Xenopus tropicalis: one gene and its partners. The protein of the gene in region 1 purifies or fractionates together with the protein of each later gene. This does not show direct contact. Links are inferred from orthologs where the notes say so. Each region holds a gene or a part of one and is shown on either strand. Other genes may lie near its edges. The genes, in order: atad5, wdr48 and rfc5.

Region 1 (7,436 bases):
CCTAGTGAGGGAGGGGCCGTGCCAGCCTAGTGAGGGAGGGGTCGGTGCCAGCCTAGTGAGGGAGGGGCCGTGCCAGCCTAGTGAGGGAGGGGTCGGTGCCAGCCTAGTGAGGGAGGGGCCGGTGCCAGCCTAGTGAGGGAGGGGCCGTGCCAGCCTAGTGAGGGAGGGGCGGTGCCAGCCTAGTGAAGGGAGGGGCGGTGCCAGCCTAGTGAGGGAGGGGCGGTGCCAGCCTAGTGAGGGAGGGGCGGTGGCCAGCCTAGTGAGGGAGGGGTCGGTGCCAGCCTAGTGAGGGAGGGGCCGTGCCAGCCTAGTGAGGGAGGGGCGGTGCCAGCCTAGTGAGGGAGGGGCGGTGCCAGCCTAGTGAGGGAGGGGCGGTGCCAGCCTAGTGAGGGAGGGGCCGTGCCAGCCTAGTGAGGGAGGGGCCGTTGCCAGCCTAGTGAGGGAGGGGCCGTGCCAGCCTAGTGAGGGAGGGGCCGTGCCAGCCTAGTGAGGGAGGGGCCGTGCCAGCCTAGTGAGGGAGGGGCGGTGCCAGCCTAGTGAGGGAGGGGCGGTGCCAGCCTAGTGAGGGAGGGGCGGTGCCAGCCTAGTGAGGGAGGGGTCGGTGCCAGCCTAGTGAGGGAGGGGCGGTGCCAGCCTAGTGAGGGAGGGGCCGTGCCAGCCTAGTGAGGGAGGGGCCGTGCCAGCCTAGTGAGGGAGGGGCCGTTGCCAGCCTAGTGAGGGAGGGGCCGTGCCAGCCTAGTGAGGGAGGGGCCGTGCCAGCCTAGTGAGGGAGGGGCCGTGCCAGCCTAGTGATGGAGGGGCCGTGCCAGCCTAGTGAGGGAGGGGCGGTGCCAGCCTAGTGAGGGAGGGGCGGTGTCAGCCTAGTGAGGGAGGGGCCGTGCCAGCCTAGTGAGGGAGGGGCCGTGCCAGCCTAGTGATGGAGGGGCCGTGCCAGCCTAGTGAGGGAGGGGCCGTGCCAGCCTAGTGAGGGAGGGGCGGTGCCAGCCTAGTGAGGGAGGGGCCGTGCCAGCCTAGTGAGGGAGGGGCCGTGCCAGCCTAGTGAGGGAGGGGCCGTGTCAGCCTAGTGAGGGAGGGGCCGTGCCAGCCTAGTGAGGGAGGGGCGGTGCCAGCCCTAGTGAGGGAGGGGCGGTGCCAGCCTAGTGAGGGAGGGGCGGTGCCAGCCTAGTGAGGGAGGGGTCGGTGCCAGCCTACTGAGGGAGGGGCCGTGCCAGCCTAGTGAGGGAGGGGTCGGTGCCAGCCTAGTGAGGGAGGGGCCGTGTCAGCCTAGTGAGGGAGGGGCCGTGCCAGCCTAGTGAGGGAGGGGCCGTGCCAGCCTAGTGAGGGAGGGGTCGGTGCCAGCCTAGTGAGGGAGGGGCCGTGTCAGCCTAGTGAGGGAGGGGCCGTGCCAGCCTAGTGAGGGAGGGGCCGTGCCAGCCTAGTGAGGGAGGGGCCGTGCCAGCCTAGTGAGGGAGGGGGCCGTGCCAGCCTAGTGAGGGAGGGGTCCGGTGCCAGCCTAGTGAGGGAGGGGCCGTGCCAGCCTAGTGAGGGAGGGGCCGTGCCAGCCTAGTGAGGGAGGGGCCGTGCCAGCCTAGTGAGGGAGGGGCCGTGTCAGCCTAGTGAGGGAGGGGCGGTGCCAGCCTAGTGAGGGAGGGGCGGTGCCAGCCTAGTGAGGGAGGGGTCGGTGCCAGCCTACTGAGGGAGGGGCCGTGCCAGCCTAGTGAGGGAGGGGTCGGTGCCAGCCTAGTGAGGGAGGGGCGGTGTCAGCCTAGTGAGGGAGGGGCCGTGCCAGCCTAGTGAGGGAGGGGCCGTGCCAGCCTAGTGAGGGAGGGGCGGTGTCAGCCTAGTGAGGGAGGGGCCGTGCCAGCCTAGTGAGGGAGGGGCGGTGTCAGCCTAGTGAGGGAGGGGCCGTGCCAGCCTAGTGAGGGAGGGGCGGTGTCAGCCTAGTGAGGGAGGGGCGGTGTCAACCTAGTGAGGGAGGGGCGGTGTCAACCTAGTGAGGGAGGGGCCGTGCCAGCCTAGTGAGGGAGGGGCGGTGTCAGCCTAGTGAGGGAGGGGCGGTGTCAGCCTAGTGAGGGAGGGGCCGTGCCAGCCTAGTGAGGGAGGGGCCGTGCCAGCCTAGTGAGGGAGGGGCGGTGCCAGCCTAGTGAGGGAGGGGCGGTGTCAGCCTAGTGAGGGAGGGGCCGGTGCCAGCCTAGTGAGGGAGGGGCCGTGCCAGCCTAGTGAGGGAGGGGCCGGTGCCAGCCTAGTGAGAGAGGGGCGGTGTCAGCCTAGTGAGGGAGGGGCCGTGCCAGCCTAGTGAGGGAGGGGCGGTGTCAGCCTAGTGAGGGAGGGGCCGGTGCAGGCTTAAGGGGGTACGTTCTTTAACAGCATATTCTCTAAAACAACCCAGATTGTTCCCTCAGATCAAGCCATTATCCCTGTCTCCCCGAGTCTTGTCAGTGTCACCCCAAATAATTCCATGGTGTCACTAACACCATCAAGCCTTGCTCTTGGCTCTCTCTTACTTCTTTCTCCTCTTTGTATGTATTGTGAGTGCCATCTTAAACTTTAGCCCCGCCTACTAACAGCCACATGGGGGCAGGCTGTATGTATTGTGAGTGCCATCTTAAACTTTAGCCCCGCCTACTAACAGCCACATGGGGGCAGGCTGTATGTATTGTGAGTGCCATCTTAAACTTTAGCCCCGCCTACTAACAGCCACATGGGGGGCAGGCTGTATGTATTGTGAGTGCCATCTTAAACTTTAGCCCCGCCTACTAACAGCCACATGGGGGCAGGCTGTATGTATTGTGAGTGCCATCTTAAACTTTAGCCCCGCCTACTAACAGCCACATGGGGGCAGGCTGTATGTATTGTGAGTGCCATCTTAAACTTTAGCCCCGCCTACTAACAGCCACATGGGGGCAGGCTGTATGTATTGTGAGTGCCATCTTAAACTTTAGCCCCGCCTACTAACAGCTACATGGGGGCAGGCTGTATGTATTGTGAGTGCCATCTTAAACTTTAGCCCCGCCTACTAACAGCCACATGGGGGCAGGCTGTATGTATTGTGAGTGCCATCTTAAACTTTAGCCCCGCCTACTAACAGCCACATGGGGGCAGGCTGTATGTATTGTGAGTGCCATCTTAAACTTTAGCCCCGCCTACTAACAGCCACATGGGGGCAGGCTGTATGTATTGTGAGTGCCATCTTAAACTTTAGCCCCGCCTACTAACAGCCACATGGGGGCAGGCTGTATGTGATATTGGAAGTGCCTGGCGGAAGGGGCTGGGTGCCAGTCTCTCTGGTACACTGGCTAACCATTGGATACACATCTGATAACAGCTCAGTTGTATGCATGGGGCACAGTTGGGGCACAGGGCTGCTGTACCAATCCCCACACACACACCATACTATGAGGTTCTGTAGCTGCCAGACACCGTTCCAAGCAATTGTTTCCTCTCATTCAATTCTTCCCGGAAGTGGCAGGTTTAGGCGGGAAGTTCCAGTTTGAGGCGTTCCGGGCGCTTACTGATGATGTCAGAATAGTGCCAGCCAATGGGGTTGCTCGCTGAGCGTTGTTCGGGAGCGCGCCTTGTGTGGGATTGGCAGTTGGTTGGTGCGCGCTCCCGTGGGGCAGGTTTGCGCGGGAAATTCTATTCTGCTTGTGGCTCCGGCTCCGGACTGGGGGTGTCGGTATGAGCCGCTGTGTGTGACTGAGCGTACCGGGGAGATGGTCGGGATACTCGCTATGGCCGCGTCCCTGGAGCAGTATGGATGCCAGGTGGGGCCTCTCTCTCACTGCGACTGGAGCTGCGCTTGTCTCTTGCCCGCCTGTCTCTTGCCCGCCAGTCTCTTGCCCGCCAGTCTCTTGCCCGCTTGTCATTGGGGGGCAGCTGGGAACTGTGCCTTCCCTACTGGTATGGGGGGGGGGCAGCTGGGAACTGTGCCTTCCCTACTGGTATGGGGGGGGGCAGCTGGGAACTGTGCCTTCCCTACTGGTATGGGGGGGGGGGCAGCTGGGAACTGTGCCTTCCCTACTGGTATGGGGGGGGGGGGCAGCTGGGAACTGTGCCTTCCCTACTGGTATGGGGGGGGGGCAGCTGGGAACTGTGCCTTCCCTACTGGTATGGGGGGGGGGGGCAGCTGGGAACTGTGCCTTCCTACTGGTATGGGGGGGGGCAGCTGGGAACTGTGCCTTCCCTACTGGTAATGGGGGGGGGCAGCTGGGAACTGTGCCTTCCCTACTGGTATGGGGGGGGGGGCAGCTGGGAACTTGTGCCTTCCCTACTGGTATGGGGGGGCAGCTGGGAACTGTGGCCTTCCCTACTGGTATGGGGGGGGCAGCTGGGAACTGTGCCTTCCCTACTGGTATGGGGGGGGGCAGCTGGGAACTGTGCCTTCCCTACTGGTATGGGGGGGGGCAGCTGGGAACTGTGCCTTCCCTACTGGTATGGGGGGGGGGGCAGCTGGGAACTGTGCCTTCCCTACTGGTATGGGGGGGGGCAGCTGGGAACTGTGCCTTCCCTACTGGTATGGGGGGGGGGCAGCTGGGAACTGTGCCTTCCCTACTGGTATGGGGGGGGGCAGCTGGGAACTGTGCCTTCCCTACTGTATGGGGGGGGGGCAGCTGGGAACTGTGCCTTCCCTACTGGTATGGGGGGGGGGGCAGCTGGGAACTGTGCCTTCCCTACTGGTATGGGGGGGGGGGCAGCTGGGACTGTGCCTTCCCTACTGGTATGGGGGGGCAGCTGGGAACTGTGCCTTCCCTACTGGTATGGGGGGGCAGCTGGGAACTGTGGCCTTCCCCACTGGTATGGGGGGGGGGGCAGCTGGGAACTGTGCCTTCCCTACTGGTATGGGGGGGGGGGCAGCTGGGAACTGTGCCTTCCCTACTGGTATGGGGGGGGCAGCTGGGAACTGTGCCTTCCCTACTGGTATGGGGGGGGGGGCAGCTGGGACTGTGCCTTCCCTAACTGGTATGGGGGGGGGCAGCTGGGAACTGTGCCTTCCCTACTGGTATGGGGGGGGGCAGCTGGGAACTGTGCCTTCCTACTGGTATGGGGGGGGGGGGGGCAGCTGGGAACTGTGCCTTCCCTACTGGTATGGGGGGGGGGGGGGCAGCTGGGAACTGTGCCTTCCCTACTGGTATGGGGGGGGGCAGCTGGGACTGTGCCTTCCCTACTGGTATGGGGGGGGGGGGACGGCCCCCCGGGGGGCAGCTGGGAACTGTGCCTTCCCTACTGGTATGGGGGGGGGGCAGCTGGGAACTGTGCCTTCCCTACTGGTATGGGGGGGGGGGGCAGCTGGGAACTGTGCCTTCCCCTACTGGTATGGGGGGGGGGGGCAGCTGGGAACTGTGCCTTCCCTACTGGTATGGGGGGGGGGGCAGCTGGGAACTGTGCCTTCCCTACTGGTATGGGGGGGGCAGCTGGGAACTGTGCCTTCCCTACTGGTATGGGGGGGGGGCAGCTGGGAACTGTGCCTTCCCTACTGGTATGGGGGGGGGGGCAGCTGGGAACTGTGCCTTCCCTACTGGTATGGGGGGGGCAGCTGGGAACTGTGCCTTCCCTACTGGTATGGGGGGGGCAGCTGGGAACTGTGCCTTCCCTACTGGTATGGGGGGGGGGCAGCTGGGAACTGTGCCTTCCCTACTGGTATGGGGGGGGGGGCAGCTGGGAACTGTGCCTTCCCTACTGGTATGGGGGGGGGGGGGGCAGCTGGGAACTGTGCCTTCCCTACTGGTATGGGGGGGGGGCAGCTGGGAACTGTGCCTTCCCTACTGGTATGGGGGGGGGGCAGCTGGGAACTGTGGCCTTCCCTACTGGTATGGGGGGGGGGCAGCTGGGAACTGTGCCTTCCCTACTGGTATGGGGGGGGGGGCAGCTGGGAACTGTGCCTTCCCTACTGGTATGGGGGGGGGGGCAGCTGGGAACTGTGCCTTCCCTACTGGTATGGGGGGGCAGCTGGGAACTGTGCCTTCCCTACTGGTATGGGGGGGGCAGCTGGGAACTGTGCCTTCCCCACTGGTATGGGGGGGGGGCAGCTGGGAACTGTGCCTTCCCTACTGGTATGGGGGGGGGGGGCAGCTGGGAACTGTGCCTTCCCTACTGGTATGGGGGGGGGCAGCTGGGAACTGTGCCTTCCCTACTGGTATGGGGGGGGGCAGCTGGGAACTGTGCCTTCCCTACTGGTATGGGGGGGGGGCAGCTGGGAACTGTGCCTTCCCTACTGGTAATGGGGGGGGGGCAGCTGGGAACTGTGCCTTCCCTACTGGTATGGGGGGGGGGGGGGCAGCTGGGAACTGTGCCTTCCCTACTGGTATGGGGGGGGGGGGGCAGCTGGGAACTGTGCCTTCCCTACTGGTATGGGGGGGGGGGCAGCTGGGAACTGTGCCTTCCCTACTGGTTATGGGGGGGGGGCAGCTGGGAACTGTGCCTTCCCTACTGGTATGGGGGGGGGGCAGCTGGGAACTGTGCCTTCTCTACTGGTATGGGGGGGGGGCAGCTGGGAACTGTGCCTTCCCTACTGGTATGGGGGGGGGGGCAGCTGGGAACTGTGCCTTCCCTACTGGTATGGGGGGGGGGCAGCTGGGACCCACTGATGGGGGGCCCTTCCCTACTGGTATGGGGGGGGCAGCTGGGAACTGTGCCTTCCCTACTGGTATGGGGGGGGGGCAGCTGGGGAACTGTGCCTTCCCTACTGGTATGGGGGGGGGGGGCAGCTGGGAACTGTGCCTTCCCTACTGGTATGGGGGGGGGGGGCAGCTGGGAACTGTGCCTTCCCTACTGGTATGGGGGGGGGGGCAGCTGGGAACTGTGCCTTCCCTACTGGTATGGGGGGGGGCAGCTGGGAACTGTGCCTTCCCTACTGGTATGGGGGGGGGGTGGCCCAGCTGGGGGCACCAACTGTGGCCTTCTCTACTGGTATGGGGGGGGCAGCTGGCAAACTGTGCCTTCTCTACTGGTATGGGGGGGCAGCTGGGAACTGTGCCTTCTCTACTGGTATGGGGGGGGGGGGGGGGGCAGCTGGGAACTGTGCCTTCCCTACTGGTATGGGGGGGCAGCTGGGAACTGTGCCTTCCCTACTGGTATGGGGGGGGCAGCTGGGAACTGTGCCTTCCCTAATGGTATGGGGGGGGGGGGCAGCTGGGAACTGTGCCTTCCCTACTGGTATGGGGGGGGGGCAGCTGGGAACTGTGGCCTTCCCTACTGGTATGGGGGGGGGGCAGCTGGGAACTGTGCCTTCCCTACTGTATGGGGGGGGGGGCAAACTGGGAACTGTGCCTTCCCTACTGGTATGGGGGGGGGGGGCAACTGGGAACTGTGCCTTCCCTACTGGTATGGGAGGGGGGCAGCTGGGAACTGTGCCTTCCCTACTGGTATGGGGGGGGGGCAGCTGGGAACTGTGCCTTCCCTACTGGTATGGGGGGGGGGGGGGCAGCTGGGAACTGTGCCTTCCCTACTGGTATGGGGGG
Region 2 (7,363 bases), on another chromosome or scaffold:
TGCCATCCCGCCGGCGACTTACATGTTCGCCGGTGGGATGGCAGGGGAAGGCAACTCGGGGAGATTAGTCGCCCGCGGACAGGGAGTTTTGCCGCGGGCGACTAATCTCCCCGTGTGCCAGAGGCCTTAAACACACAGAGACAATTATATGTATTGTCTCTTTTGTAGCCGCAACAAGTAGCAGACTAGTAGCAATCTGTATATTAGCCCTTAGAACAAAATATCTACCTTTTCTGTAGACCCGGAGACAATTACTGTTCCCATCTGGTTCATTGCAAGGCTGTAGATGGAATCTTTGTTTCCACTCAAAGAGGAAGCTAAGTTGAAAAAAAACAAAACATTAAAAAGTACAATAAATTGCCCAATTTTCTGGCTGAGCTGCACTGGGCATTAAGTAAAGAAGACTACTGAATTATCCTTTTGGCCTAGCCCTGGCTGCACTGCTGGAATGGGAACATTAACGTGATAGGATAGCTTCCCGTGCCGCCACTATTACTTACTGGTGACTGTATTGTTGGAGGCAGTCAGTGCAGTGAGAGTATTTACATCCCAGAGAAATATCTGCCTGTCCAATCCTGCAGATGCCACCAGTTCTTTATCTTTTGCATAAGCCAAAGCTTTCACATAGTCCTGCAGTACCAAAGAAAACAAGTGAAAGGGGTATAAGCACATCAATCACACAAAAGGGTGAACTCCACCTAAAATTAAAAATACATCTTACCTTGTGTGTCCTTAGGGTGGACATACAAAACCCCTTGTGTGCGTTCCATACTTTAACGGTAGTGTCCGAAGATGCAGAGATCACTGAAAAATAAGCATTCCTTGAGCTTAGGCATTTTAAGTGTAGTTACAGATTCAGTGCAGCAATATTCAAGTACAAGGACTTCATGATTAAAGAGGTTCAGGTATTAACACAGCAACCCGAAAGGGAAATGCACCATAAAAAACCCTCAGAAACCTATTTCTCCTATGTGGAATGTGACAGTCCCCAGGTCCATGTATGTCAGGGGAGAGAGCTCTATAGGCCCGGACTGGCAATCTGTGGGTTCTGGCAAATGCCAGAGGGGCTGCTGTAAGATGCCACAGACAGTCACTGTCTATTGGGCTGGTGGGGGGCTGTTTGGGCCTCTGTGTACTTGAAATGCCAGGGCCTATTTTAAATCTTGGTCCAGACATGGAGCTCTAGTTTACCTCCACAGAAGAATACTTTGATAAATGCCAGAAGTTAGTTAAGGGCCTAATAGCTTTTTCTAGTTTCCTGAGCAGGGGAACTTTACCCAAACCATTACAACTGTGCCTCAAAGGGTTGAATACTCACATTGACAGTTATATGCAGCCTGCAATCTTCCAGCTGTTAAAGGCAGGAGGGCTAAATATCCCTCTCTTAGGGGGTTATGTAATAAAACAAAGAAGCAGTAACCCATTAGTAACAAACCAGCGGGTACAATTTACTGGTCAGCTGTTTAAAAGCAAACATCTTATTGGTTGCTATGGGTTACTGCTCCTGTGGCAAACTTAGTGCCTTTTAATAAAAATGGGGGTAACAATAGCAGGTCAATCCCAAAAGTGTCCCATATAATTCAACGAGTACTTAAATTTGATAAAAGCCAAAATACTTACATGTTTTGCCATTGCAGCAGAGGACAATGTCATTGACCCAGTCAGTGTGGTGTTCCATAGAAGCTATATATGGATCTTGCTAAAATATAAATTGAGACATAACAGCTTTTAGGAGGATGAAACAGAAAATCTATATTAACAGAGAGGCATGTATGGTAGCACCTAGTGAATTTGTTTAAACACCAGCAAGGCTTGTTAATATAATTTCAATTTATACTTTAGTGGGCACAGACACAGTCAGGGAAAGGCCCTTTGTCCGTAATACAACATGGGATTCATGGCAGTATGCTTATTTGTCTGTTCTATTACAGGACTACTAATGAACTAAGGAACATAGTAAAGAGGAATATCCGTCTGATTGGTACATCATTCCATTGAGGGGTAATTAGTATGGCATGTTATTTAGCTTGCAATCTCTACAGGGCAGGGACCTCCATCCTCCTGTCTCTTTGATTCTTAACTTATATCAACTTGTATTTATTTTTATTTATGATCATACTTTGTATTTATCTATTATTTTAATAACATGTTTCACACCATGAGGCAATTAATGATAGATTAATGAGTAAAATACACATAGACATTTAAAAGAATGAGGTACTAAAATGGGGAAACTAAAAGGGGGTCAATGTGGATTGATAAAAGCTGCTTATTTGGTCCACAGGGCCAATATCAGCAGTTTTTATCAGCCCCTTACTGGTTTGTCTATAGGGACCTGCCCCTCCAATAGCAATGTACACACATCAACAGAACCAGACATGCAACAAGCAGCCATACAGGCAGGATGATGCCAATAAGGCAGAGTGTTCTGTAGCAATTCAAAGACTCCAGAAAATGTAGTCTGAGGAGCCAAGCGACTGATCCACGTTATTGATCCTAAGATCGGGGAGCCGGTTTCCATTACCAACATCAAAGTTATGAGATTTGCAAACAGTTAGGAGGCACGGCCGCATCAGTCATCGTTGCTCTAATGACTAACAGGGAACATGGCATTTCCTAGAAGAGGAAATCCATTAAGAAGCACATGCAAATAACTGAGTGTGCTCCCTGCGCTCCCAGCCTCCCTTGCTCCTAATCACTTTATCTGAGTGAGGATTAACCTTGTGCTGGTTGACATTCCATATCCGGATGATGGAATCCCGGCCCGCTGTGAAGAGCCTGTTCAGCGCAGGATCGAGCTGCAATGCGTTCACCCCATTGCGATTGTACTTCTCCACTTCATCTCTTATCACATAGGATACCTGAGGCAGATACAGACAGTTCAACAGTGAATATACACCGCAAGTTACTCTAATCATTACGCTGGCGGCTGGCCATACACGCACCAATATAATCATAGGAAACAAAGCTTTGTACAATTTTCAGACTGCGTGTGGGTTTCAAATTATTGTCCATACAATTTTCATAGCAGGGCAATCAGTCAATTACACAGGTTAGAAAATTTCAGTCAAAAGGCGATAATCTCTGTGCATGTATTGCCGATCTGACAATATCTATGGGGGACCTACACTGTATTTCTGGAACATAACTTTCGTACGATTGTTGTCTGGCAATTATTAATGGCCAAAACATCATCAGATTTGTTATTTTTAAGACTTTAATCCTACAGGTTCAATCTGAACTTTAGTTTTAGATAATTGCATTAAAGGACATGTCAACCCCAAAAAAATGTTTTTGGGCCTATTTTGAATCATGGTCTGTACCTGGGTTGCAGGGCATTATTGTGGAGGAAAGGGCTTTCCCCGTCCTGTCGCTGCAAAGTAGCAAGCATGGAATTGTCAAGTATATCATTGTATGTTGCAACCTTAAAGGAACAATTCAGTATAAAAATGAAACTGGGTAAAATAGACTGAGCAAAATAGAAAATATTTGTAATCTAGTTAATTAGGCAAAAATTTCATCTATAAAGGCTGGAGTGAGCAGATGTCTAACATAATAGCCAGAACACTACTTCCTGCTTTCAGCTCTCTAACCTTTTAGTCAGTCAGTGACTTTATGGGGGGCCACATGGGACATAACTGTTCCGTTAGTTTGTGACCACGCAGGTCAGATTCAAAAGCAAACTAACTGACAGTTATGTCCCACACAGCCCCCCTAAAGTCACTGATTGGTTACTGACTGCTAACAGCTTAGAAAGCTGTAAAGGAGGAAGCGGTGTTTTGGCCATTATGTTAGACATCCACCCACTCCAGCCTTTATAAATTACATTTTTGCTGAACTATATTGAAAACATTTTTAATGTTGCGCAGTCTGTCTATTCTACCCAGTTTCATTTTCACGCTGAACTGTTCCTTTACGTAAACCAGGGGTCCAGACAGTTCCAGTCCATTATTGCCTGTACCGCAAACTTTGGTCAGCATTGCATATTTAGGCACGTAGCTCCTTTCTGGCATATGCCAAACCCTGACTCGGCTACCAAACTTCTAGATAGGAAAGTGCGATTTATCCCAATGATAAAAACTTTTGCATGTGGTGATATTGGGCTTGTGTGACATGTAGACAGTCTATAAGGTTACTGTCACACGGTCCTGTCTGTTTTATGGTGTGTCAGCACCCAAAGACACTGCGGTGACCTGGGACACGGAGCGGATTTCAGCGCCAAAACACGAGTATGCGTTTTCATGCAAAAATCTACTCTGTGTGGAGTAAAATTAAAATGTGAGATTAAAGCTTGCCACAGAAAAATTCACCAACTTTCTATTCATTCCTATGGGATTATTAGACACGTGATTATCACTGGGTGAAAGTAAGCGTTCCCCAATTGATAAGTGCGCTACTAAAAATCCCATAGGAATGAATAGAAAGCGGATGAATTTTCCTGTGGTGTGCTCTAATTTCACATTTGAATAAATCTGCCCCATAGTGTACTTGTACCATATACATGTTTATCTTTTGCTGACAGTAATTTCACAAAATGTTCTGTTCTATATAGATTACTTTCCATCACTCTAACAGCAAGTATAAGAGAAAGCGCATTAATGTTAGGTCTCATATGGGGAAGTAATAGAGAAGCTTTAATGTGAGGGAAGCCCTCAGAGATATAAGCTACTTAGTAAAAAGAAAATATTCTCAAATAATCATTCATAAATAAACAGAACTTTGGTTCTGCTACATTGCTCATACATGCAATAACAGAGTGTAATGTTGCGCACTATATCGAGTCAATGTTCTATGTTCCCTGTTAGCGCTAAACACATGAACAAGTTGCAGAGGAAGCACCTACAGAAGCTATAAATAAGCCATTGTTTCCAGCGTGTCAGTGTGTAGCACAACCTGCACTCTATACAGTATGGATATCAGACACAAGCCTATTTTTAGCCTGCTATACATTCTTTACTCATAAGTCATTCATACTTGAGCCCTTACAGCACAGAAGGGGTAAATATACCCTATTAACTATCTAACAGTTCAAAATAAAGAGCCAGACAAGGCACAAAGGCTTGCTGTTGCACTTAATGTGAAAATAAAGGCTTTTATCTTTAATTGTAAATGATATAACACAGGTCCTGCTGCCCAGATAGAGTGTTCTATATTAGAGTAAAGCTGGCTATATATGGAAAGATTTGCTTTCTACCTAAATGTGACAGAATTGAAAGCTTACCTGCCTATGGGGACCCCGATAGGCCTAACTTACTCTGATGACTACTATACCCATTGTTGTAATTTGATTGTTTGGCCCTAGGGGCAAAGAATCAAATGATCACAATTTCACCCACCTTCTTAATGTGTATGGCCACGTTAAGGTGGGCGATATCAGAGTAATCTGATCATTTGGCCCTTGGGTCAAACGATTATGGATTAACACCGCTAGTGTATGGCCACCATAACCAATACTCTCCACAATCTCTCTTAAAAAATGAAATAGTCTTTCCCTGTTTTGGCCATCTAAGCAGCCAGTACAGGCTGATTAGAATAAAAAAAAATTATATATATATTTAGGTATAGACTCTTATCAGGAATGCTTGGGACCTACGCTTTTCTGTATAAAGAATCTTTGTTTGGATAACTATACATGAAATAAAGATAAGAGGATTGTTTTGCCACACATATAGGCTGATGCAGCTTAGTTGGGATCAAGTGTAGGTACGGTTTTATTATTACAGAGAAAAGGGAATCATTTAACCATTAAATAAACCCAATAGGGCTGTTCTGCCCCAATAAGGGGTAATTATATCTTAGTTGGGATCAAGTACAGGTACTGTTTTATTATTACAGAGAAAAGGGAATCATTTAACCATTAAATAAACCCAATAGGGCTGTTCTGCCCCCAATAAGGGGTAATTATATCTTAGTTGGGATCAAGTACAGGTACTGTTTTATTATTACAGAGAAAAGGGAATCATTTAACCATTAAATAAACCCAATAGGACTGTTCTGCCCCCAATAAGGGGTAATTATATCTTAGTTGGGATCAAGTACAAGTACTGTTTTATTATTACAGAGAAGAAGGAAATTATTTTAAAAAATTTGAATTATTTGCTTAAATGGACTCTATGGGAGATGGCCTTCCAGGAATTCGGAGCTTTCTGTATAATGGGTTTCCAAAAACAGATCCCATACCTGTACAGGTAAAGGACCAGTTATCTAGAATGCTCCGGATCTGGGGTTTTCCTTATAAGGAGTCTTTCCATAACTTGGATCTCCATAACTTAAGTCTACTAAAAAAATGTGATATTAATTAACCCAATGTGATTGATTTGCCTCCAATAAGGATTAATTATGTATCAGTTGGGATCGAGTAGATCCCTGATGGATTCAGCCGAATACCGAACCGAATCCTAATTAGCATATCCTAATTAGCTATAAGCATAAGGGCGCACAATGAATTTTTTTTCCCCCTAACACTTAACCCTTCCTAATGCTAATTAGCATATGCTACTTAGGATTCGGTTCGGCCAGGACCATGGATTCGCCCGAAAACTAACCCTGCCCAAAAAGGCTGAATCCTGGCTGAATACAGAACCGAATCCTTGATTCCGTGCATCCCTAGATAGAAAAAAAAAAAATAATAAATATATATATATATATATATATATATATATATATATATATGTATAGGATATATATGGATGATATATGTATTAGATATTTATGGTTATGACATATGGATGTGATGATACACATGGATGTGATGATATACATCACTTAAGGGGTGACATGATAACTATGTATAAATATATAAAGGGATCATATAATAACCTCTCTAATGTTTTATTTACCAGTAGGTCCTTCCAACGGACACGAGGGCACCCACTCCGTTTAGAAGAAGGGAGGTTCCATTTAAATATTCGGAAAGGATTTTTTACTGTGAGAGCTGTGAAGTTCTGGAATTCCCTCCCCGAATCAGTCGTACTGGCTGATACATTATATAACTTTAAGAAGGGGCTGGATGGATTCTTAGCAAGTGAGGGAATACATGGTTATGGGAGATAGCTCTTAGTACAAGTGAGGGAATACAGGGGTAGGGGGGATAGCTCTCAGTACAAGTGAGGGAATACAGGGGTAGGGGAGATAGCTCTCAGTACAAGTGAGGGAATACAGGGGTAGGGGAGATAGCTCTCAGTACAAGTGAGGGAATACAGGGGTAGGGGGGATAGCTCTCAGTACAAGTGAGGGAATACAGGGGTAGGGGAGATAGCTCTCAGTACAAGTGAGGGAATACAGGGGTAGGGGAGATAGCTCTCAGTACAAGTGAGGGAATACAGGGGTATGGGAGATAGCTCTCAGTACAAGTGAGGGAATA
Region 3 (7,363 bases), on another chromosome or scaffold:
TAACACACACTTGAGTGATCCACACACACTCTTACACTAAAAAACATTAAAAATGGTTACATGCCAGGCCACTACCAGTCCCAATGTTTCTCTTGGACAAACTCACACAACCATACATACATTAATAAGGAAAAAGGGAAACCACTGCTGAAGTTATAACCAGTTGGTTTATTTGAAGTTTTAGTGGATCATTGTGCAAACATCTTAGGGCATTTGTCCTCACATTGTGAAAGAGGAAAGCCTGCTGTGGAGTCTGAGACAGTTCACAAACACTAATGGTTTTAAACAAGTAACCCTCTGTTATTTTGTGTGTGTGGGGTGGAGCGCATTAGCTTGCCTTCTGGAGACTGTCTTGTTCTTCTGTTGGATTACTGCCAGCCACGTAAAATCTGGTTAAATTATTATTCACATTTGAGTGGGTCATTAGTGGCCATGAAACTAAGCAGGTCTTCTACCTTCTCATGTATTTGTCACTTCCTCTAAAGTCCAGATTATCATATTAGTCTAGTGCTAGGCAATAATATAGGCAATAATATAAAGATGACTATTCCATTGTCCATGCCTATATTAAAAAAAAAAGTAAAGCCGTATGAGATTACAAGTGACGACTCCTCCACCCTGTTAAACAGGACCCTCATAGAATGCTTATAATATATATATATATATATATATATATATATATATATATATATATATATATATATATATATAATTACAAACAGTTCATAAGCTGCACACCAAAAGTCAGAGACGCTACCTGGGTGCCAGGACAGTATAGCAATGTGTAGAGAAGTGGAGAAGAACGGCACTCACAGGCAATTTCACAGCAAGGACATCAAAAAGCTTGTAGAAACGTGAGGTTCTTTATTAGTCCGACGTTTCAGTTCCTGAAGGAACTGAAACAACGGACTAATAAAGAACCTCATGTTTCTACAAGCTTTTTGATGTCCTTGCTGTGAAATTGACTGTGAGTGCCGTTCTTCTACACTGTCATTCATATTGTGTGTTTACCTTTCACATTAGTCCCTGCCCCACTAGAGCTTGCAGTATAAATCCAGTCATATTCACACAATGGTCAATTTCATTAGAAGGGTAGGAAACCACACAGATGAGGGGATATCATCCAGACTCATTGCAGATAGTGTCCAGGTTAGAATCAAACTCAGGACCCCAGTGCTGCAAGGCAGGAGTGCTAACTACTTAGCTGATTGCATACAAGCATCCTTCCACATTGCATACTAATGTTAATTTATATAAGCATCTAAATTGAATACAAAACAGCCATGGTGTAGGAGGATTTGGGAAGAGATGCAAAATATTCCACCCAGTTTAGTGTAACACTGTGAGCTGGAAGATGACACTTCAGTCAAAAGTTTCGGGTTCTGTATTTGGCAAATGCTGCTCTCTTGTAATGCAGCTAAAATATGTTATTCTGGCATAGACTGTGTGGGGAGTGTGCCGGGACTTGAACTGGGGGTTGTGTGTTGATGACATCTTTTCTTTCAAAGGTCTTATAAATGAACAGCTCAGCATTTTCTTTATGAAAAAATAACCAAAATGTATAAAGAAAATAATGCCGTTTTGTAGCAAAAGCCCCTGAGTAAACATAATAGGGAAACCTGCTGTCTTTAAAGGAACAGTAACACCAAAAAATAAAATAGCTTTAAAGTAATAAAAATATAATGCACTGTTGCCCTGCACTGGTAAAACTGGTGTGTTTGCTACAGTAACACTACTATAATTTATATAATAAGCTGCTGTGTAGCCACGGGGGCAGCCATTCAAGCTGGAAAAATGGACAAAAGGCACAGGTTACATAGCAGATAACAGATAAGTTCTGTAGAATACAATAGTGTTTTATCTGTTATCTGCTATGTGCCTGTGCCTTTTCTCCTTTGAATGGCTGCCCCCATGGCTACACAGCAGCTTATTTATATAAATTATAGTAGACTTTCTGAAGTAAACACACAACTTTTACCAGTGCAGGGCAGCAGCACATTATATTTTAGTTAGTTTTATGCACTTTCATTTTTTGGTGTTACTGTTCCTTTAAGTGTTTCTTATCTAGTCTGCTCCCTGAACTTGAAGTATTTTTAGTACATTTGTCAGTTAATATAAATTGAGGTTTGTGTCCAGTTACTAAGTTATATAAAGTCCTTTTGCAAAACTCATGTTTTTTTTGTAATTGTAGACCTTAGTACAGAACTAACCGCCCCCCCCCCCCCAACAATTTTACAAAGGAAATTAGGTGAGCAGAAGGAAGAAAGGGTATGTAATCTGCACCGTTTATACACCATTTCCTTATCTCTAACTTTAACAGGGTTGAGAAATACCGACCACAGACTCTTGATGACCTGATTTCTCATCAAGACATATTAAGCACAAGTAAGTTGGGGGTTGGGTTGACTGAAACCACAGTACTAATTCCAAGATTGCTGTCAATTTCATATTTTAAAACAATATTTTAATCAGACTTTAATAGGAACATGTCTGTATGACATTATAAACATACCTTTCACTGATTCCATCAAGGTCTTGACATGGCTTCCTTCAGCCTAAAGCCGCTATATATATGTATAATATATAATTTATAGGGTTTGATTACACTAATCCTATCGCTTTTTTTAATCTTTTCTCTTTGGAGTGTTGGGGTGTCACTCATCGCCACTTTTTATATGGAATTCTGCATATACATACAAAATACGTTTTTGTATAAAATCAGTGTAACATTACTAATTTACTTGCTGTAGTTATCATCCCTGTCTTTTAGAGTATGTAGCCATGAGCAGATTCTTCTGCACTTCAGGTCTGTACTCGCTGGCATGACAAGGGATGGGAAGCTAAAGTCAGAAAGATACATGCTTTCAGCATTGGTTTCAGTCCCTGTAGAGTGGTGCCCAACCAGTGGCTCATGAGCAAGATGTTGCTCTCAGTGCCCCCAAACCAGGTAGTTATTTTTGAATTCCTGACTTGGGGGAAAGTTTTGGTTGAATAAAAACAAGATTTACTACCAAATAAAGCCTCCTGTAAGCTGATGTGCATAGAGGCTGCCTAATAGCCAATCTTAGCCCTTATTTGGCACCTCCATCAACTTTTATGATGCTTGTGTTGCTCTCCAAGCTTTGCAAGGACTGGGTATTGGTTAACTAGGTAGAAGCAACTACTGTAATAAGTATTGGGCACAATAAATAAAATAAATAAAATTGTCTGAATTGTTTTAGAATTGAATCAGTCTGATAAGTAGTCTTAGGTACTTATTTACTAATATAGGTGATAAACCTACATCAATATTTATAGTTTGCTTTCATTTTCTAACTTGCATTTGACCAATTACTTATTGACTGGCACTGGTAACTTTAGTTTTTAAAGGTTTAACTATAAAGATATAACTGTTTATGAAATATTTATATTTTTATTGAGTAAATGCTGATTTTATAAATGCATAAATGCTTTCCTCTTCAAGTTCAGAGGTTCATCAGTGAAGACAAACTCCCTCACCTTCTATTCTATGGACCCCCTGGGACTGGGAAGACATCTACAATTCTTGCCTGTGCAAAGCAGCTTTACAAAGATCGAGAATTCAATTCTATGGTTTTAGAGGTATTTTATTCAATGGGTTTACTCTGTTCAGTTTATCCTCTGTAATAGCAAACATTACCAAAAAGTGCTCTTGAAATAATTTGAGGATCGCTGTTATATTGTGATCTAAACACCAAGCATCAATAATCAGGATCTTCCATCTTCACATTGATGAAAATGGCAGCAGAAAAGGCACAGCAATGGTGAAGTACAGGTAATGGGACCTGTTATCCAGAATGCACAGGACCTTTCCATGTTTCCATTATTTTGGATATCCATACCTTAAGTCTACTAAAAACCATTTAGTAGGTACCAAACGCTCATGGTAGCCTAAAGAGCTGATTTTTAAATCAAAATTTTGGCTCCTCTAGTGCTAAGAGTGCTGTCGCACTCTTGGCACTAGTGATGTGGCAAACCCTCATCCCCCTCCAAAGCAAAAAAACCCAAGAGGGGGAGGGCGTTATCCCCATAGGCCGCCTCAGGGTGCCCCTGCCTGTAGTGTTATGATTGTCAGATAGGAAATGATGTAACAAGAAAAATATAGGCTTTAAACCAGTCAAAAAGACAAAAAGTCAAAACAACAATCCTGAACAAGCAACACAAACAGAAAACAATATTTTTACTTTTGATGCTATCGCTAAAGAAGAACAAGGACATTATAATAAAGCCAGCTGACAAGGGTGAAGTCATAGTCATTATAAACACCATTGATTACATACATAACGAACACAGACAGCTATCCAATACACTGCAGGTAGGATCCCACAGAGAACTACACAAAACAACTCAAAATATTAACCAAAAAATTGCCAGCTAATATCCAGGAAAGCTTGGAGGCACTTATACCCAGAGATCTTAAAACAGCCTGCTTTTATATGATTCCAAAGATTTAAAAAGAGAGAAACTCTGGCAGACCAATAATTTCTGGAAATGTATCTGGCTGGGTAGAAAACATCCTGAAACCTCTTGTAAAATAACACCAGGATACAATGGATTGCCTTAACAAATTGGCTACAGTTGGACGGAACAATTCTTGCCTTCATGGCTGTGGAATCCCTATATATGAATATCCCACCCAAAGATGGTATTGCAGTATGTGATTATTACACGCAAAAACACAAACTTGATGTGGAAACAGTGAATAAAATAATGCAGTTTATCCTGACCCATAACTATTTCTCTTTTAACAATAATATTTACACCCAGCAGATGGGGATAGCAATGGGATCACAGTTTGCTCCTCAATATGCAAATCTTTTTAAGGCTAGACTGGAAGAGGACTACATTTTGGTATATCCTCTTGATATAGATAATATCCTTATCACCATATAATGGTAATGGTAATATTACACTTGGAATTCAGTACATTCCACTCAACAAATTAATGGTAGGGTATGATATAGACCCCCTAATGTAAATGAAGGGAAGGAGGCTTGGCTCCTGTTGCAAATAGAAAAGGCTGCTAGTTTGGGGCAAGTGATAATAATGGTGGTTTCTAATTACCCTGATATTGACTGGATTATTAGTACTGCCAGGACAGTAAATGGGAACAAGTTTTTATAAACTTGTTGCATGACAACTTTATGTCACAGGTTGTTGGGGAGCCAACCAGAAACCAAGCTATATTGGATCTAGTTATCTATAATGAACCAGAACGTATAGCAAATGTGCAAGGCACAGAGGCGGGGCAGGCAATATATGATTGACAGCTGGGATTTTTAAATGCCTTTATAATGGGTATGGGTGTGTCATTAAAAAAATGGAATTTGGGTTTCATGTTTAACTTGAAAAGGACTTTTATTATTCAGCTTTTTATGTCTTGGTGACAGGTCCCCTTTAAGGTTGAACTTGATGGATGAACGTATGTCTTTTTTTCAACCTAACTTACTATGTTACTATGTAACAATAAAACTAAAACTCTGCTATTTTTAGTGTTAAATCAACTTCCTTTCCACTACAATTCACATTAGGAACCACTACATCTTAACTTCCATATACAGCAAACCAACTGACCAACCCTCCTACCTTAGAAGGGATGGCTTCCACACCAAAAACACTAAAAACTCTATAGTTTATTGCCAGGCCATAAGATACAAACATATCTGCTCTGAAGACATGGAAAGGAACCAGAACTTGACCAATCTATGGCAAATCTTTATCAATCAGGGGTACAGACCTAAGACTATTGAATAATTAATAAAAGCATGCACAATCCCAAGGGGGGAACCTTGTAAAATACAAGGAGGGACAAAAAGATAATGGCCTACCCCTAGTGGTACCTACAACCCTCACCGTATATTTATGTATATATATGTATATAATATACAGTGGAGGAAATAATTATTTGACCCCTCACTGATTTTGTAAGTTTGTCCAATGACAAAGAAATGAAAAGTCTCAGAACAGTATCATTTCAATGGTAGGTTTATTTTAACAGTGGAAGATAGCACATCAAAAGGAAAATCGAAAAAATAACTTTAAATAAAAGATAGCAACTGATTTGCATTTCATTGAGTGAAATAAGTTTTTGAACCCTCTAACAAAAAAAGACTTAATACTTAGTGGAAAAACCCTTGTTTGCAAGCACAGAGGTCAAACGTTTCTTGTAATTGATGAACAAGTTTGCGCACATTTTAGGAGGAATGTTGGTCCACTCCTCTTTGCAGATCATCTCTAAATCCCTAAGGTTTCGAGGCTGTCTCTGTGCAACTCTGAGCTTGAGCTCCCTCCATAGGTTTTCTATTGGATTAAGGTCCGGAGACTGACTAGGCCACTCCATGACCTTAATGTGCTTCTTCTTGAGCCACTCCTTTGTTGCCTTTGCTGTATGTTTTGGGTCATTGTCGTGCTGGAACACCCATCCACGACCCATTTTCAGTTTCCTGGCAGAGGGAAGGAGGTTGTCGTTCAGGATTTCACGATACATGGCTCCGTCCATTTTCCCGTTAATGCGAATAAGTTGTCCTGTGCCCTTAGCAGAAAAACACCCCCAAAGCAAAATGTTTCCACCCCCATGCTTGACGGTGGGGACGGTGTTTGGGGGGCATAGGCAGCATTTTTCTTCCTCCAAACACAGCGAGTTGAGTTAATGCCAAAGAGCTCTATTTTGGTCTCATCAGACCACAGCACCTTCTCCCAGTCACTCACAGAATCATTCAGGTGTTCATTGACAAACTTCAGACGGGCCTGCACATGTGCCTTCTTGAGCAGGGGGACCTTGCGAGCCCTGCAGGATTTTAATCCATTGCGGTGTAATGTGTTTCCAATGGTTTTCTTGGTGACTGTGGTCCCTGCTAATTTGAGGTCATTAACTAACTCCTCCCGTGTAGTTCTAGGATGCTTTTTCACCTTTCTCAGAATCATTGACACCCCACGAGGTGAGATCTTGCGTGGAGCCCCAGATCGAGGTCGATTGATGGTCATTTTGTGCTCCTTCCATTTTCGAACAATCGCACCAACAGTTGTCACCTTCTCTCCCAGCTTCTTGCTAATGGTTTTGTAGCCCATTCCAGCCTTGTGCAGGTCTACAATTTTGTCTCTGACATCCTTGGACAGCTCTTTGGTCTTTCCCATGTTGGAGAGTTTGGAGTCTGCTTGATTGATTGATTCTGTGGACAGGTGTCTTTTATACAGGTGACTAGTTAAGACAGGTGTCCTTAATGAGGTTGACTAATTGAGTAGAAGTGTCTAACCACTCTGTGGGAGCCAGAACTCTTAATGGTTGGTAGGGGTTCAAAAACTTATTTCACTCAATGAAATGCAAATCAGTTGCTATCTTTTATTT

Evidence for each region.
Region 2: the proteins of atad5 (region 1) and wdr48 purify together in Homo sapiens (affinity purification with western blotting; 3 studies listed by BioGRID). This does not show direct contact. The link is inferred for Xenopus tropicalis from reciprocal best matches to the Homo sapiens genes ATAD5 and WDR48.
Region 3: the proteins of atad5 (region 1) and rfc5 purify together in Homo sapiens (affinity purification with mass spectrometry; 4 studies listed by BioGRID and IntAct, counting the BioPlex papers as one, with this or other methods). This does not show direct contact. The link is inferred for Xenopus tropicalis from reciprocal best matches to the Homo sapiens genes ATAD5 and RFC5.

Annotation. Positions count from the first base shown.
Region 1 is NC_030686.2:51,964,064-51,971,499, reverse strand, and holds the start of atad5 (ATPase family AAA domain-containing protein 5), read left to right. Parts: upstream 1-3,197; 5' UTR 3,198-3,692; coding exon 3,693-3,743; intron 3,744-7,436. UniProt on the Homo sapiens protein: Has an important role in DNA replication and in maintaining genome integrity during replication stress.
Region 2 is NC_030682.2:13,430,339-13,437,701, forward strand, and holds part of wdr48 (WD repeat-containing protein 48), read right to left. Parts: intron 2,862-7,363; coding exon 2,721-2,861; intron 1,700-2,720; coding exon 1,621-1,699; intron 805-1,620; coding exon 722-804; intron 631-721; coding exon 501-630; intron 318-500; coding exon 229-317; intron 1-228. UniProt on the Homo sapiens protein: Regulator of deubiquitinating complexes, which acts as a strong activator of USP1, USP12 and USP46. Enhances the USP1-mediated deubiquitination of FANCD2; USP1 being almost inactive by itself.
Region 3 is NC_030677.2:165,243,449-165,250,811, forward strand, and holds part of rfc5 (replication factor C subunit 5), read left to right. Parts: intron 1-2,320; coding exon 2,321-2,385; intron 2,386-3,463; coding exon 3,464-3,600; intron 3,601-7,363. UniProt on the Homo sapiens protein: Subunit of the replication factor C (RFC) complex which acts during elongation of primed DNA templates by DNA polymerases delta and epsilon, and is necessary for ATP-dependent loading of proliferating cell nuclear antigen (PCNA) onto primed DNA.